Styela clava: one gene and its partner. The protein of the gene in region 1 interacts with the protein of each later gene in a pairwise test. Links are inferred from orthologs where the notes say so. Each region holds a gene or a part of one and is shown in the gene's direction. Other genes may lie near its edges.

The links.
Region 2: the proteins of peripheral plasma membrane protein CASK-like (region 1) and ubiquilin-1-like interact in a two-hybrid assay, tested with the Caenorhabditis elegans proteins (2 studies listed by BioGRID). The link is inferred for Styela clava from reciprocal best matches to the Caenorhabditis elegans genes lin-2 and ubql-1.

The regions. Positions count from the first base shown.
Region 1 is NC_135256.1:839,610-849,234, forward strand, and holds the start of peripheral plasma membrane protein CASK-like, read left to right. Parts: upstream 1-5,542; 5' UTR 5,543-5,619; coding exon 5,620-5,681; intron 5,682-6,573; coding exon 6,574-6,686; intron 6,687-8,162; coding exon 8,163-8,268; intron 8,269-9,055; coding exon 9,056-9,133; intron 9,134-9,625. UniProt on the Caenorhabditis elegans protein: May play a structural role in the induction of the vulva. May be required for the localization of signal transduction molecules (such as let-23 receptor) to either the basal membrane domain or the cell junctions.
Region 2 is NC_135258.1:15,530,926-15,540,584, forward strand, and holds the start of ubiquilin-1-like, read left to right. Parts: upstream 1-5,912; 5' UTR 5,913-6,058; coding exon 6,059-7,621; 3' UTR 7,622-9,659. UniProt on the Caenorhabditis elegans protein: May play a role in the ER-associated protein degradation pathway (ERAD) possibly via its interaction with ER-localized proteins ubxn-4 and cdc-48.1 and/or cdc48.2, providing a link between the polyubiquitinated ERAD substrates and the proteasome.

The DNA.
Region 1 (9,625 bases):
ATAAGCATAAACGGAAGGGGTGACGCGTAGAGCAGTTGGTGCAAATTTGATCAATGACTCTTGCGGTGTTGCGCAATTACTATTGCAGAAAGTAAACAGAGTATAGTTGCCAGATTCGTTCAACTTATTACTTCATAATTCGATACTAAAAAATATATAAAGAGAGAAAGAGTTTATTGGACACGTCAGTGGACATAACGACCGTTTTAATGTTGTTCTTGTTCCTTTTTTTCCTTTTTTCATCATTAAAAAATCGCTTTTCTCTTCCAATACTGACCCAATTGCTTCAAGATTTCCAGTGGTTGAAGATTGATTTTTTCGCCAGAAGGCCATTACTTTTACTTCTTTCAAAAATTTCTGTGAACTTTAGGAGATTCGTTTTTTATGTGTCGGAATAAAAAATAGCGGCACCTTGTAACGTGTCCCTATATTTGAGCATAGCTCCCTTGTTATTTTTGTCAACCAAAATACAAATAAATTTCAAATTAATAAACTACACAGCATTTATTTCGGTATGGACTGGGAGATGGTGATACGACCAAAGGTCAGGATAGGATTAGAGAGAGAGAGAGAAATTTATTTTATTTATTCCGGGAAAAAAGAAGGGGACGAGACTGCTCGATCAGAGAGAGAAAGATTTATTGATTCGTCAACCAAAACAAATATAAATATGAAAGCATAAATACAAATAAATAAACACTGTTCATGGTAAAGACTGGAGGGAGCGATACGACCATACGGTCATCCAAGTCAGCTCCCCCCATATTCACTGTTATACATAAGATTCACAGGTATTGGATTGAGTATATTGGATTAGATATAATAGAGTAATATACAATTAAATAATTGTAAAAAGCAAAATTACAAGGGGCTAATGATTGAAGTTAGTTATCACGCTCAGGCGCGCAGCCAGGATTTTCAAAGGGGGGGGGGGGTACATAATCATAAATTCCCATTGCAGCCTGTAACAGTCTTTGCATTACGCTCTCGTTAAAGGGACGTCTTTTCAGCGTATAATGATTATTCTTGTCGCGTGAAATATTCAATCTCTGACAACTACAAAATTCTAAAATGTCTTTATATATTAGTTTAATTGTGTCCAACGTAACTCGCGGTTGCTTCTTCTCACGTCAAAGTTAAAACATTAGTTCTCTGAAATGCCACGGCGATCGGTGGACATAAAAATATGAGATAAACGGTGTATTTAATTTTAATACGTATTTTTGGAATCTTGCCAACTCGTTATCGCCGTTAGAAAAATCTCAATAACTGATATAAAATCCCGAAAAGTACAATTTTATTTCGTACAATGAAAATGCATATGAAGTATATCGTTAAATCAAAAATACATATTCATCGCCGCGATTACGCCACTTGTTAAAAGAGCCGACGTTTACAACGAGAAATGATTTTTCTGTTGTGCAAAGTAATCAATTCGTGACCGATAAGGGCATATTTAAAATGTCTTGCTTTATTAATTTAATTTTCTTCAATTTAACCAGCGTTTGCGTCGACAAAACATATCAATTTTTTACATGTCACAATTTTAAAAAAACCTCGGCCATATGCCGACATAAAAATAAAAATTTGTGGTAACTGCCCGTGTCATATATTGTTTTGATCCGTATTTTTTCTATTTTGCAAATTCGACAAATTTGAGATGTGCTTGTAACATTGACTCCGTTCAATCGCAATGCTGACACTCCGATTATTTTTAAAGATAAAACCTCCTGAAAAATCCGTAAATCTGCTGTAAATTCTCATGGAGTAAAATTTATTTCAGTACAATAAAAATTGATGGATATACTTCGGATTAATTATCTTGTATATCATCACAAACCGGGAAAAAATCGCGTTTTCAACCTTGTTTAATGATAACACGAAAATTTTCTACGACAATTTTGGAGTGCTGGATAAAGGGCAAATCCCACCCACAATTAACCGTGTTTCGAATTTAGTGACGGTATGTTCCTAAACGGCGACCAAACATAATGTGCGCCGTAGGCACACGAAATTTTGCGATTTTGCGACTAGAAAATCGTTTTTAGACTGTCGCGGGACTCAACAAAACTTAAACTATTTACGGTTTTATTTTCAGTATTTCATAATGCCGCTTTTCAATCAAATTTAGATCGCGGTTTTACTCCTTCTTTTGTCTTTAGAACCTCGCCACCGATGAATGTGTAATAACTCACGAATTCACAATTCCGTGAAAAGTACAAAAATAAAATAATTATCATGTCTATCGTGGCACAAATTTATGATTTAGAAAGAATAAAAACCGATGTAAGGGCGTTTACGGCCTAAATAACACGCTGATGAAAACATAAGCGATTTTAGCAGAAGGCAATTGCACGCTTTTTCAGTTTTCACATTTCCGTGCGGGTACAAAAATAAAACAAGAGAGCTACGCCCAAATATATGGACACGTCTGTCCGCAGTACAGTACGGTTTACCGTACCGTCAGATCACAGTCTACAAATATATTCACACCAAGCGAAGCAGTACAGTAAGACACGAAATGGCGTCCGATGCCCGCAGAACGTTTAATGACGTCATAGCAAACAAAAACAAATCTCACAGAGCTAACAGAAATATTTAAAATGAATAAAAGTAATAGCCTTCTGGGGAAAAATTTTATCTTCAACCACTGAACATTTCAAAGCAATTGGTCCAGTATTCGAAGAGAAAGCGTTTATTTAATATTTCCACTAGGTGTGTTATTCTGTGTCAAATAACAAGAACAAAAACAAGAACAACATAATATTGAAACGATCGTTATGTCCACTACGTGTCCAATAATTATCATTGTTCCCGCGGCACAAATTTGTGATTTAAAGAGAATAAACACCAATGTAAAGGGCGTTCACGGCATAAATAACATGCCGCGTTGATGAAAACGAACGTCGATTTTAGCAGAAGGCAATTGCACGTGTTATCGGCAACTTTTTCACGTTTCAGAAAATTCAAAAGGGGGGGATCAAATGGCAAACACGATGGGTCCTCCAGTCCATGCCGGGTAAAGGATTATTCAGTCAGGTATTTGATTTTAAAAGTGTGGATAGTGATTCGAATTACGGTATTTCTATTTTCTTCGATCATTAATTGTTTGATTCATTTTTTTTTGTTTTTTTTGTATCAGTATATGAAACAATCAGAAGTTGTAGATTAAAAAATATAACGTAGTGCTCCCACTGAGCTTTGTTTAGAGCTAAATGTGTGAAATTAAAAAGTGTTTATGCGAAAAGATCGTCTCATTTGGAAGACCTGGCAATCAATATTCCCACTATGTGCTATGATCATTGATAAAGTTATTGAACCCGGGAGATGGCACCCAAGAGTCACACTTCAAAATCACAGACAGCTCGTACCAAATAACTTTCGAGTTGGATGATTCGTACCGCTCAAAGACAGACGAATTGTCCATAGATTTTATTGCTCCACAATGACCGTCAGGTCGGTTCTCTTGCGAAATGAATGAGAAATTTTGCTGATTGTGGTTTTAGTTTATTTGCTTGTAGGCTAGTTGTTGCTGAATTAACAGATTTTCATATTTGCAAATTAATGATTCTTTTGCGTGTCACGCGGACAAAATAATAACGGGGCCATACACTAAAATTGTTTCGATATTACCGTACCGGTACCGGTACGTTAGGATAGGATTAGGATAGGATTCACAAATCTCGTTCTGACGTTATTGTCAGTTTGTCGAACATGGGAATGGTTTTCTTGTTTTAGAAAACTCGATGTACCGGAATAGGTTTAGTAGCACTAATAAAGTAGACTAGTAGTATTTATTTTTTTCGTCATATAAATTGTGAGATACGGTAGGCTATAAAATTTGGATCATGAAAAATTCGGGTTCTTTTTACTTTGTAACTTCTGTATGGTTGTGTGAGAGTGTGTGAAATATTTCCATTATTTTGGGTGAGTGAACACGTACCACTTCTTCTTGGCACGACCTTCCATCTTGTATTGTGTACGTTTTAAACCTTGTCCAAGGTTTTGTTTGCTCTCCTGTTTTCATAATCAGTTTTTATTTTATCAGTTTCTACTTCAATTCTGCAATTGGTTGTTTTTGTCAAATTGCTTCCAAAGTGATGCCCGATCGCGTTTTTAAATCTGTGTTTGTTTCATTTATCTTCTGGTGGGCCGGCAAGTACATTGTACGCTTTTTAACCTTTTTTAAGTTATGCCTGTCTCCCAGGTATCACTGCATTTTGTTTTGTCCGTTTACTTTTTGTATTGTTTATGTCAGAGAACCAAAATGAATGATTGATTGATTTATTTTTTATACAAATCATTTAAGTGTTATGCTGATTACTGGATTATGGAGTCGAAATAAACTTATACTTATAGTATAGTTTAGTGGACTACCACAAGTACTTCTAGTGGAGCAGGCATAAAGAATTTTGCATATGTTATTCCTAACCCCTGACTACCTGACTATGCCATTTAAAAAGTACTTCGCTACAACATCACCATGTCATAGAGCCTGTCAAAATATATTTACGATCGCCCAGTTCACGATCGCCCATCACTGATACAGTGATAACTGGATAAGGAACTCGCTAACGTTGGGAATCTCTTTCATATCGTGATCGTTGCGACAAAAAAATGAGAGAAATAGCTTGCTCGATTTCGAGTGATCGCCTGTGCGTTTTGGACGACCTCAGCATACTTTGGGGGGGGGGGCTTTTTACGCCACTGTGATGTCAAAATGACGTAATTTTTCGGTAACGTAGTCAGGTGGGGGTTGGGATTGAAATATGCAAAAATTGTTTAGCCAGGCCAACTAGAAGTGCATGTGGTACTAAACTATACCAGACCCAAAAATTCTATCGTTAGATCATATTTCAATATTTGAAAATAAAACACCTTACAGACTTATATCTGTATATTGCTCTACATTTAGAGCAGATGTAAATAATCCCAATACTGTAATGGGTCAATAAGTGGAAAAAATATAGAAAATTCCAGAGTGAACAAACGATTCATGATAGCCTAGTTTTGCAAAATTCACGAGAAGCCTTATTTTAAATAGGAAGTTTGTGATAGATCTAAGTGTTATTGCATTTGCTAATTTGTTTGTTCATTGTTTTATGTCGATGTAATTATTGAAATAACCTAATTGTTGTAGATAATTATTACTTCTGGACCAAGCTTGAAAAATACTGAAATATGAAACTCACTCAACTGGATTATGAATTTAAAATGGAAAAAAAAAATGAATAAATATATATATTTATATATTAATAAATTATATATTTGCTATATTCCAGTGGGTTGAGGTAGTGAAAGATGACTTTAAAACTTATCTAGCTGTGACTCACTAGTTGTGTGTAACCAATAACCATACTGTTTATATTCATAGTTTTTCATATCGAGTCGTGGGTCGGATGTAAAAGGATCACTCAGAAGAGTATTTGCTCACCACTGTCTGACTGTTCTATTGTAACATGTAAACATGGGTTTGTGAAATCTGGCAATATCTTTCCTCACAAGTTAACTTTATTCCGTTCATATATTCTGCAACAGAAATATATTTATCACATTTTAAGTACTTAGATCTGACTATGAATAACAAGTAATAAATCAATTGCTGAGTGATCTTTCATAATGAACAATATGGTAGAGGAGAGATTCGAGACCCACTATGAACAGCACGAGACCATCGGAAAGTGAGTAATTTTTTATTTTTATGACTCGTAGGAGGCGCAGTTCTTACCACTTCATGGCAACCGAATGAACCGATGGCAGCTCCTGCCCTGTTGATGGCGCTATTACCGGTATATTCACAAAGCCAGATTTTATTTTATCATGCAGAATTATATCTACTTAACCTAAAACCTAACCCCAAATCCATTAAAACTGTATCTATAAGGAACTGTTCCAGCTTACCCAATATTTATCACCATCCGGGACAGCCCTGCCATTACAGCTGACATGCTGTGGTTATGGCAGCAAAATTTCACCCGCCTTTAGTTTTCAATTTGCTGCTGTTGTATCGGCAGCCAACCATTGGTTCGTGGCAGTCAAAAAGACAGTCGCCATGGGTTTGGCCATAGTGTCCATGGTCCGGAAATCTCACCTGAGCTTCAGACGCCACAAAATACTTGAAATTGCACTTGACTCATAGCGGTGCTTTTAGCTTCGAACATGGCCTTCTACAAACGGCCACTGAAATCTGATGTTATGTGAGAAGCTTTTATTGTATTTGAAAATGCCTGAATCTTGTTGGAGTGGAGCAATATCATGATATATATTAAGCATGATCTACCCAAAATTTCAGTGGCTTCGGATGCTGATCAGTGACCATATAATTATTTTTTTACAGTTATAAATTGTTCAAATATTGTTCATTTCATTTTTACTTAACTTTCAATTCATTTGTTCTCATTTATAATAACATCTATAATTTGTTTATCCCCTGAAATATTTTCGAATTTGGGATTCATACACGAGCCTCAGTCTCCAGAAAACCAATGATATCATGCTGAGCATTCCAGGAAAATACCAGTTACCAGATTGACAATAAAAACATTTTCAACAAAATACATTTTCCTGTTACAGAGGTCCATTCAGTTTTGTCAGACGTTGCACTCATCGAAGATCAAAACTCCAGTACGCTGTTAAAATCGTTGACGTGGCAAAGTTCACTGGAAGTCCTGGACTTACTGCCCACGGTGAGTTATTTTTTTTACAATCCAAACGGCCCTCAAACTTTCATGATCATGGCCCAACACTCATAACACCTTTTGGTACTCCAGAAGTATGTGAACCAAGATGGCGGACACCGGAATCTAGTATGTGTACCAGGTTAGGGTTAGTCCATAATTTCAGGTGCAAATACTACGGGAGTCACGGTGACCGCCATCTTGGTGCACATACTTCTGAAGCGTCCGTTTTTTGTATTCTATATTTCTGACTCTAAGATAGTTGATGCAATGCAAGGAAAGAAGTGGATTTTCTGGGTAGTTTTTTTTTTTCCAGGGTTCTGCTTATTATTAACTTTTGGTCATGATAGGGTTACTTCGATTCAAACCCCGTTGGGGGTGAGACGTAGCTGATTAGAATACTTGATCGCTCATCTATCTCTCACCAACACTCAGATGCTAATTTCCACACATTCGATTGAACCTGGTTGACTGATTCGAAAGCAATAAATGATTTTATTGAGAGATGATATACAAGGTGGTCGCTAGAAAAGTAGAAATAGGTCAGATGAGATAACGAATAAATAGGCAGCGTTTCCCAAAAGGAGCGAACCCCTGACATCTCTATCACAATCATGCTTTAGATTGAGATTAGTCAAATGGCAAAAATTGTGAGCACAAAAAAAATCTTGCATTTTAGAATACATACCTATACTACCTTTCATTGGAAGGGAATTATGGCCAATCCGGGACAGCTGTCCCATGACAATTACAGTGGTGATATTATATTTCACATAATGCATTCCCTGTGGGCATTGCAATTTCTGAAAGTTTTCTTCAGGGGTATTCAACCTCTTTTGATGGAGCGAATGAAACATTTCAGAGTTTTTTTTTATGTCAAATTGCAACAGTGTTCAGTAAAATTCTTTGACCATCTGTCAATAATGCATTTTACAAATCATTGTTCGGAATCACAAAGAGTTTTTCATGCAAACTTGGGTCCACTTTCAATACCAATGCACTGTGTCAAAATGACCATTTTCGAAAATTGACTATCCCAAATTATTTTTAAAAAATTTAAAATTTGAAATTCTGTTATAATCAACTCGATTTCTAATTATTCCTGCCGATAGCAAATTGAACACGCATAACTTCTGATCAATATATTGCTTTATCTTGGAGTCTAGATTTTAGGAGTCTAATATATAACTAAAGTAGTAACTAGTCGACAACAACTAACGGATTAGTTCACAGATGAAATTCAATACATATAGCAGATAATTTTACGTTACAATTCCAAAATTTTGAGTTTCTCTCTTATTCACGTCACGCGTCGAGAATGCGATACGCTTTACGTGAGTAACGACATCTCTCAAATAGCTGTAAAAACAACCTTTTCAGCGACATCTTTGCGTCGTTCTTGGCATTTTCTGGATAATGAGATAAGTGACCTAGAGATCCTAGGTTACAATTACAATTTAATTCTTATTCCTGCATGTTCCACAGATTTGAAGAGAGAAGCGACAATATGTCACATGCTGAAACATCCTAACGTTGTTGAACTCTATGAAGTTTACAGCGAGGAAGGATTGCTGTACATGGTCTTCGAATAGTGAGTATTACTTTACTTGAAACAAAATAAAAGTTTTATTAAAGCAGGGATGGGCAAACTACAACTCGCAGGCCCCATGCGTTCGTCAGAGAATTTTGGGACTTCCCGAAGTATGTGCACCAAGATGTCGCACCACCTGAACATAGTATGCGTACCAGGTTAGGGTTCAGGTTGTGCACCATCTTGGTGCACATACTTCGTGAGCGCCAAATTTTGTACCCTGTTTGTTTAGAAAGTTACTTGCCACCACATACAAAATTTGATTTATTTCAAATTTTATTATAAATAACCAAACCAATGGTTCTCAAACTTTTTAAGTCGCGCCCCCTTTTCTAAAATTAGTCAAGTCTCACCCCCACCTTAAAAATAACCAGCTCACACTAGGCTACAAATAACAGATGTTAATGCGGAAGTATGTTTATTAAAAAAAACTTTTGAAAATACATGGATGGAAGTATTATTTTATTTGCAATTAACTTCACCCCCCCCCTCAATAATTATTTACCTCCATACAGGGACACATACTTCTGGGTCGCCCATTTTATTCGATCATTTTAAAAAAATTCTGCTGCTAATCATTGGATCTCAACATTTGACTCGTAGCTTTTAGGAGGATATGCTAGAGTTCTGTTCTGTGAAATGACGCTAAAGAGCCCTTTTCCAATGACATTTGACCTATGCAACTGCTGAAAAATTAAAAAAAAAAATTGCATATTCAATGACTTTCGTGTATGGTACAGCGTTAACTAAATTTTTATTCAAAAATTTCATGAAATTATTTTTTTAGCATGGACGGCGCTGATCTTTGCTTCGAAATCGTGAAACGAGCGAACATGGGATTCGTCTACAGCGAAGCCGTTACAAGGTTAGAGATTTATTTGTTGTGGCACTTTCATTAAAACAAGGCTTATATGCAAAGAGCCACATTTATTGTGGGGATTAGTCACTACCCAATTCAGTATTCCCTGCCAAAATTATCTGGAGGGGGTGCATTGGATTCAAACTCAAGATATTACGATAACTGGAGTCAGAACCGCTTTGTGATAATGGGCTAATTCAGCACCATGTCTAAATTTGGTGTATGACATTGTCATTGCCAAGGAGCCACTTATATGCAATCAATGAGCTATTTTTATTGTACACGACAGCAATATTGACCGAATCAGGATTTAGGATTGTTGTGAGGACCCAGCCGTAATATGCTCGTTTTACCGCCCGATCTTCATTAAGGGCCCGTTTGAATAGCCGCCCGTGTGAACAGAACATAAAAATAAATAAGGGCCGGTGCTTGAATACCCGCCCGATGTAAAAGCTGATTTTTCAGTGGTAGAAAACAATAGGAAATAAGAAGCGCTTT
Region 2 (9,659 bases), on another chromosome or scaffold:
ACCGGTAGTCGTTGGTGATGACAAATAAACGATTGGCTGACTGGCTTTTCAGTATATTATCGTCGCGGTATGGGATCGATGGACAATTCTCCATCACACTTCATCGTATCTTGCGTCAAGATCTGCTGTGCCTATCACGATAAATTGTACCCCAACATTTATCTCGTATATTTTCGCGATTGATTTTAAAAAAGTATATTATTGTTGCTAAAACGATACCAGCTTTCAAACAATTATTTGTCTACCCCAGACAAAGGTATAAGTTCAGATATACTAGAACAAAATAGTTTTAAGGGATAAGCAAACTATGAAAAAGACCAGATAAATTTCAAGGTGTCGACATCACCGATAATATGTAACAATAATTAACGCATGTTCTTGAGTTTCAGCTTGAAACACAAATAAAAAATATTTAGACGCATAAATGGAGTGTCACTTGACTCATTACTGAAGGCATATCAAAATAGCTTACTTTAATTAATTGCATCGTAAATTGCCTTGTAAATCTGCACGTATGCAAATATGGACTCGACACTTCTTTTACATATTAATATAGGTGTCTGCAGACGTTTCGTTTTGCACGGGCGCTGGGAATAGCGGTGTTTTAAACTCATACCAAGTTGTCTACCGTAATGGTATATTCGATAAATGTTTACCACTTTTATTAAACCAATACCCATAGTGGCGTACGCAGAATTTTGTGACAATTTTATGTCAAATTTTATTTTCACACAACGAGGAAATTCACTGTGATATTTGATTGATATTTTTCTTCTTTATTGTCAAATATTTAAATAACACAATTTTAGTAGCGAAAATAGATAAATTAATTGGGAAGGTAGTTTGGATGAGGAATAGCTCAAAACGAGTAAGAATTGAGGGCGTTCTTAATAAATTCCGTGTACATATGTGTACAGTGTGTGAAAACTTCAGTATACATAAGGTCACATTTCTTAATATATATATTTCATAAAATTCTGTTGTTAGTGATTATATTTATATTTAGTATATAATAATTGGAATCTAAAAACAAGTTCAAATGATGATAAAACATCATAGTATCAGATATTGTGACGTTATAATACCCGTTTCCAGTGCAGCAGGTTGGCCGCGAACATGGTCCTTCCACAAAAAAAAAATTGTTTCAGATATCAACATTCGGATGCCAACTCATTTTAAAAACATTCTGGATCTCATTGAACAGCAGAATCGGAAGCATATTATTAGCCGATACCGAACATATACCAATACCGAAATAAATGCCGATATCAGTACATTTCTATATTTATCCCGGGGAGATGAAAGCCGATTAGACGGCTCAAACATCTTGCGGAACACGGTCACTTGTCCGGTTACCGGTCCATGTAGGGTATGAGATTAGTTAATAACAAGTTATTTGTTTCAGATACATGGACTTGATGGTTGAGAAAGTCGTAACTGACCAGCGGTTATTTGAACCAGCCTGCGGCGGCGCCTCGCCTCGCATATACCGTGTTCCCCCGAAAATAAGACAGTGTCTTATTTTAACTTTCTTCCGAAAAATAACACTTGGGCTTATTTTGGGGAATGTCTTTTATTATCATTTATCAAAAACAAAATTACAAAGTGGAGAATTACGAGATTTTTCGAATATACAAAATATGACAACAACCGATATCCATTTACTTATTAATAACACGTTTTTATTAAAATTTTCATTTATTTATTTATTGAAACGTATAGGAGAGATTCCTTGCCATCGACTATGCCAGGAAAACAAATTCGCACTATCGACTAGGTCTTATCTTTAAAACTCGGGCTAGGTCTTATTTTCGAGGAAACACGGTAATTCTCATCCCGCGCGGGATTCGAACCAGCTAACCCACGCAGGTGCGGTAGCGAGCGTATTCCTAACGCTCAGCGCGAAACACCGCCGAGCAATTAAAACAGAACATTTACTTTACCTAACAAAAGGCAAAGAAGAAGCTGAATGGCGACGTTGGCTGAGATGACGTATTATGAAAAAAAATGAGAGGGTAGAAAATGGCGAATGTAGTGCAATTTTTGTAATTCGGATCCACCTTAGACGAATACTGTAAAGGTAATTAGACGGTATATTATACTGATGCTTCTTCTTTGCCATTTCGCTTTTTATGCCAATTAATCCAAGACCGTGATTCAATTTTGTATGCGGGTTTTTTTTAAATAAATTTTAAATGGAAACGTACATAAGCATTCTTTTTGTTTTCACAATTACAAGACCAGTCTGTCGATGTATTACACTGATATTTCGAAGTAAAATACGTGGTTAGTGCGTCTTAGTATAATTCTTGTTCAAGCACTTTTCCATTTCAGATGTCTTCAGTTATATTTTTTTATCATATAGAATAAAAATGTGTGCTACTTCTATTTTCTTCAAAAATGCCTTCTGTCAATCTAATATAGACACCATCAAACTCCCGATTATGCATAGGTGTGAACAAAATTTCAGAGCCAAAATTTGTTCCCAAAACTTCAATTGTACTGATTAAATTTGTTGTTAATCAAGTTTCTCGACAATCACTAAGCTTATATTTAATTTTTTCTATTTTTATTACGCCCGTGATGTTTGCTGGCATACCTTCCACAGAGATAAACGTAGTTATACCTCATCAGAGCATGAATGTCACATCGCATTGTTATGCATTGTCTCTGGTTAGAGACGCCTGCTAGCTAGTGCACTGTCCATGCTCATTTTGTCATTTTAGTTCAGTGCTCACGACCTCGATTTGATATACTTACATATTATAATAATAAAAAACAAGAGAGCTATGCTCAAATATATGGAAACGCCACAAGTTGTCGCTATTTTTTATTGCAACACATATTGCACACAAGAAAAGAAAGCTCTTGAGGTTCACAGAAATTTTTAAAATAAGTGAAAGTGATAGTCTTCTGGCAAAGCAATCTTTAACCACTGAAAATTTCAAAGCAATTTGTCCTGTATTCGAAGAGCAATTTTATTATGACAACGGAGAAGAAAAACAAAAACAATAACATAATGTTGAAACGATCATTATGTCCACCAAGTGTCCAATAAGGAAGCAATACTCAAATACATGAACACGAAAGCCGAAACAAAATATTTTACTCACAATTTCCCCAAAAATCATATCTTGGACGAAGCTGAAACTGTGGACCATCGTAAATCACCAGTATCGTTACCCGGACTGCCCTAGCTTCAACAGATCCTGTAACAATGATGATTTATGCGTCTTGTGCAACGTGAAAAAAATGGAAATTGGAATATACGATGCTAATTGTAAAATAATTTCAATCAAAAACAATTTCGAAGAGTTATTAAAACTTCAAGTCGGTGCTAATTGAAATCCACTGATTTTGGCTGTAATTTATTGCCGCGCCGCCCAGGCCTGCTGTCTTCGAATATGATAAAAAATAAAATAATCGTTTTTATCAAAACGTGGACATTAACGCTAGGACGTGTGCGCGATATTCGGTATTCTTATAAACACAAAAAACGAAGGTCGCGATATTTGCTTATGAATTCGAATTGGATATCCAGGAGTCATAGGCCCCTGCCACTTCGGCACCTGCAAGTCAGTCATTCCCCATAAAAGTAAAATTCAGCATCACTTATATCGAGTATAAAACAAAACAAAAAAACAGTCGCTTCCCGGGAAATCATAGTGACACTACCTGCCAAATCTCATAAAAAATCTTCAGCTTATTTTTAGAAACAGCTTTTACATCCATCTGTAGTGCTTTCAATCACATTACTCGGTCTTCGGTGACCTCATCCACGTTACTCCTATCGGGATATTTCGTCAATTCGTCCTCCTAAGGTTCAACTTTTTAGTGACTTCGACACCCTCCTTATTCGTCGGAAAAAATTTCATCCACTTCTTCCTTTTAGTGTTCAGCTATTTAGTGACTTCAACAACCTCATTAAATGTAGGGAGAAATTTCATCCACTTCTTTCTTTTAATGTTCAGCTTTTAGTGACTTCAGACACTCAATAAATGTCAAAAAAATTTTATCCACTTCTTCCTTTTAGTGTTCAGATTTTAAGTAACTTCAACCAGCTCATTAAATGTCGGAAGAAATTTCATCCACTTCTTCCTTTTAGTGTTCAGCTTTTTAGTGTTTTCAACAACCTCATTATTCGTCGGAAGAAATTTCATCCAATTCTTCCTTTTAGTGTACGGCTTTTTAGTGACTTCAGCCACCTCACCACCCGTCGGAAGAAATTTCATCCAATTCTTCCTATTACTGTTTAGCTTTTTAGTGACTTCAGCCACCTCACCACCCGTCGGAAGAAATTTCATCCGCTTCTTTCTTATAGTCTTCAGCTTTTTAGTGACTTCAACCACCTCACCACCCGTCGGAAGAAATTTCATTCACTTCTTCCTTTTAGTGTTCAGCTTTTTAGTGTTTTCAACCACCTCATTATCTTTCGGAAGAAATTTTGTCCACTTCTTCCATTGAGTGTCCAGCTTTTTAGTGTTTTCAACAACCTCACCACCGGTCGCAAGAAATTGTATCCATTTTTTTCCTTTTAGTGTTCAACTTTGTAGTGACTTCAACCACCTCACTATTCGTCGGAAGAAATTTCACCAACTTCTTTTATTTAATGTTCAGATTTTTAGTGTTTTCAACCACCTCATTATTCGTCGGAAAAAATTCAATCCACTTCTTCCTTTTAGTGTTCAGTTTTTTAGTGTTTTCAACTACCCTACCACCCGTCGGAAGAAATTTCATCCACTTCTTCCTTTTAGTGTTCAGCTTTATACTGATTTCAACCACCCCACCACCCTTCGAAAGAAATATCATTCACTTCTTCCTATTACTGTTTAGCTTTTTAGTGACTTCAACCACCTCACCACCTGTCGGAAGAAATTTCCTCCACTTTTTGGACACGTAGTGGACATAGCGATCGTTTCAATATTATGTTGTTGTTCTTGTTCTTTGACACGTTTTTAAAAAGTCGCTTTTCTCTTTGATTACTGGACCAATTGCTTTGAAATTTTCAGTGGTGAAAGATAAAAATTTTCTTCAGAAGCCTTTACTCTTTTTTTGCTATGACGTCGTCAAAATTATTGCCATTAGGTAGCGCTACGTGTCCATAATATATTTGATCATAACTCTCTTGTTCTTTTTAGTGTTCAGCCTCTTAGCATTTTTAAATATTTCTCATCTGGGAACACTTCAACCTCCGGAATTCATTCACTTCATCCGTTTCTTCTTTTATTTAGCCTTTTAGTGTTGTCCCGATTTTTTTCATAACAACAAGAACATGACAAAGAATTCTAACAACAACATAATATTTAAACGATCCATTTCGTGTCCAATAAATCTATAACTTCACGTGTACTTAAATATAGATTTCGCTTACTGCACGTAAAATATTGGCAATAGTGGAATGTTCGAGAAGCCGTTAGATGTCAGCTACAAAGCACAATGAAAATTTGCCAGAGTTTTTTAAATAAATCCCACACGCAAAATTCATGTTCCTTTTCATTTATGTATCAACAACATAATGCAGTTTCATAATAAGTTATTTGAGTGCTAAACAAAAACGTCATGACTTTTGTTAACAGTACTGCATTAATAATTTCAATTATTTTTGAAGAACAGTATGTAACAGTCTAACTTCAGATAAATACAACCAATAAAAACAAAAAATACATTTTTATGGTCAATAAAACTGAAGTAAATTATTTAAGTTTACGATATAAAAATATTTTAACGTAATTTATGAAAAAGCTCAATAATAATGATAATAGTCTAAGTCAATGCCATTATACAAACATTTCAATCTTCAATATAAACTGGAATTCCAATACTAAAATTTCTATATCCATACATTGTATCGTATGATGATATTAGGATGTACACCTACTATTTTGCGTATAGGATCTAACTGATATTACAGTGCTGAAGTTTCGCACGCTTCTGAAATCTGGAAGCTTGTTAACTTTTTGTGGTATCATCCTACTCATTTCTAGTTTAGTCTTTATAATTGGACACGTTACAAGGAAGCAACGCGCAATTTTGGGAAATATAAAATAATTTCATCGCTATGGCGGATTCGGAAAACTCAGAACTAATTAAAATTTCGATTAAGACGCCAAAAGAAAAAAAAGATGTTGAGATTAGCGGAAAAGGAACTGTGAAAGAATTACGTGAAAAGGTTGCGGAAAAATTTGCGTCATCGCCAGAAAAAGTCGTTCTAATATTTGCGGGAAAAATTTTAAAGGACAATGAAAGCGTTGAAACGCACAAGCTCAAAGATGGACAGACAATTCATCTTGTAATCAAGAGTCTTCCACAAGCTCAATCTAGTACATCAGGTCAGAGCGCGACATCTTCTCAATCATCTGCATCAACAGCAACCGCAACTGAAAGTCGTCCGAATCAACCTCCCCGAATGCCAGGATTTAATTCAACAAATTTGATGGACATGCAACAGCAAATGCAACAAGAAATGATGCGTAATCCTGATCTAATGCAGCAAATAATGGGAAATCCAATGGTTGAAAACATGCTGTCAAATCCTGAAGTAATGGGACAATTGATGAGGGCCAACCCTCAAATGCAGGCTTTGATAGAACAAAACCCCGAAGTCGGCCATTTACTGAACAATCCAGAGTTGATGCGCCAAGCATTGGAATATACAAGAAACCCAGCAATGTTACAAGAAGTGATGAGGAATCAAGATCGAGCCTTGAGCAACCTAGAAAGTATTCCTGGAGGTTACAATGCATTGCGTAGAATGTACACAGATGTTCAGGAACCAATGTTGAATGCTGCCCAAGAGCAATTTGGCGGAAATCCTTTTGCTAGTCTCATTCAGAACAGCAATAATTCAAGTGGTGATAACAATGCACAAAGAGGTGTTGAAAACACAGAACCACTGCCAAATCCATGGGGAGGTTCTGGCACTAGATCAACCGCAGCGACTACGACCACTCCAACAACAGGTAGTTCTACCAACACGTCATCTTCTGCTGCCCCTGGTGTCGGTGGAATACAAAACATGATGCAGGATATGATGCAAAACCCTAGCGCAATGCAAAATCTTATGTCAAGTCCATACATGCAAAGTGCGATGAATATGATGGCACAAAATCCGCAGATGACTGCTGCAGCAATGCAAAACAATCCCATGATTGCCAATAATCCCCAACTCCAGTCAATGATTCCAACAATGATTCAACAAATGCAGAATCCGGAGTTTCAAGCAGCAATGCAAAATCCTAGAGTATTGCAAGCAATGACTCAAATTCAACAAGGCATGGATGTATTATCACGTGAGGCACCACAACTGTTGTCAGGAATGACATCCATGCCAATGATGCCTCGAGCACAAACGACTTCGACACCATCTTCCACGACATCGACAACCCCATCACAGCAGTCAACTAATCCTCTTGCGAGTGATCCCGAGGCTTTGTCACGGATAATGATGTCACTGGCAGCCACGAACCCATCTGCGAACACTCAACCCCCTGAAGAAAGATTTCGAACCGAACTTGAGCAATTGACAGCTATGGGATTTATGAATAGAGAAGCCAATATTCAGGCTTTAATAGCAACAGGCGGAAATGTTAATGCAGCAATTGAAAGGCTACTATCTCGTTAATATTGTATTTAAAAATTGATTGGATTGATATTTTGTTGTATTAACATAATCCCTGCAACCACATGATATATATCTTATTCTGCAATCAGAAATAATTTACTATATCATTTGTTTTGTAAATAATTACTGTAGCTTAATTGTATTATGTCAGGGTTGGAATTGGAATATTTCTGATCAATTTAGTGATATGACTCAAACAGACTAATTTTATTGAGATTTGATTTCTACTTTGGAGTTGATATTGGCTCCAACTAGGGTTGGTCAAATATTTCTAAGGCGGATTGAATTCTGAACAAGAAATCTAATACACCATATTTTTATTATCAATCTATGACATGACATACATGACAATTTTAATGAAATTACTTGTATCATAAATAACCAAATTAACAGTATTCTTGTATCTTCGTAAATGTCTGCAGGTCTAAATTGAATTTTATAATGAAACGCCAGTTACACTTTAAAAAACTAGATGTAGGTGATACAAATATTTAATTTGATTATTGAAGTCATATTATAATCTGATTTTCTCAACCCCTGGTTCCAACCCTGACATTTTAAAGCATCTTTCGTTTTTATCACAGGATAATTTATTTCCATCCCGTGTACAGGTACTTGCTGGAGAAATTCAGCTTAAGTGGTTATTTATGAAAAAGCCAATAATCATATCTTGATAATCACTTTTGTTGCATTGCAGGCTATATAACTCAATGTGTAAATGTATACCTTGTTATATGAGAGGTATTAGTTGTTTCTCTTGTTGAATTTTGATTTTATTTGTCAATTTTTTTGCATTGTATATATTAGACAAGGAATGAGCAAGGTTGGACATGGTACTTCTTAATAGGAGATTTTCTAAAGTATAATCTTATGAAGGCTTCATTCTCTCTTGTGTTTAGGATGAGACAATGAAAAAATCCTAGTCGAATTCAACATTCTTTGTGTTTGTTTGCTACAAAAACCAACTAATTTTTTGATAATTGCTTAAATTAATCCTTCTAAATAATTTTCACATACTCTTTGATTAGCTGTGTGGAAACTGATTGGTCTTCAGTTTTATTAAAAAACTAACATTTTTTTCAGTCTGACATAATAGGTAATTTTTTTTTGTCTGGCGTGTGCTGAGTAATATAGCACAGTTCGTCCAATATCCATTTTCTAGAAAATAGAATATTAAGATGGCATATAACATTCATTCTCTTACTAGATTTGGAAACACATTGGTTAATCAATATCACTGAATTTATTGCTCTAATTTAAGTCAGCTTAACATATAGTTATATGCTTTTAGTGTATTCGATCAGTTTGACTGCCGTAATTGTAAATAATATCCAGCAGTATTCACCCCATTGTTCCATGTTATAATTCGTTCAAATCCTCATGTCTATTATTCAGTGACTGCTTTACAATTGGAGTCATCAAAATGTGAATATGTAATTGGGTAATATAATAACTTGTGATTCACAAACAGTCAATTCCTCATTACAAATGAATGTCAATGCATAGGTTCTGTTTTGCTAATCGCTAATATATTATAATAACAGCTAATAAATCATCAATGTTTCTTATGTATTTTCTTCAGAGACTGGTGCTTATAGGCATAGCGATCACATTTTCCATGCCTCATTTCTTTGGTTTCAGTGTAATATGTAATATTTCTAATCATCTTTTGATATACCGTAATTTCCAAAGAGCCAATTTTGAATTGTTGAAGATCTTGCTTCGAAAATGCAGAATTGTTGCTTAATTTACGAGTTTTATTCATTTGATGTTAGATGTGTTTGAGTACAAGATATTAATGCATACAGAAAAATGTGACCCCTCGTCTTTAATTACTGGTTTGGCAAAAAAAAATTTTGGTGTGGGCAAAATGCTATTTATATTGGACCCCATGCATATTGAAATATATATTTTAATATTTGTGTTTGAATATTGAGTCATTGGTAAATATAACGGACATTAAAATTGGCTTTCAAATTTCACAATTGCTAATACTGTATTTCATAACTAACTGTATGTTGTATGTAAATGATATATG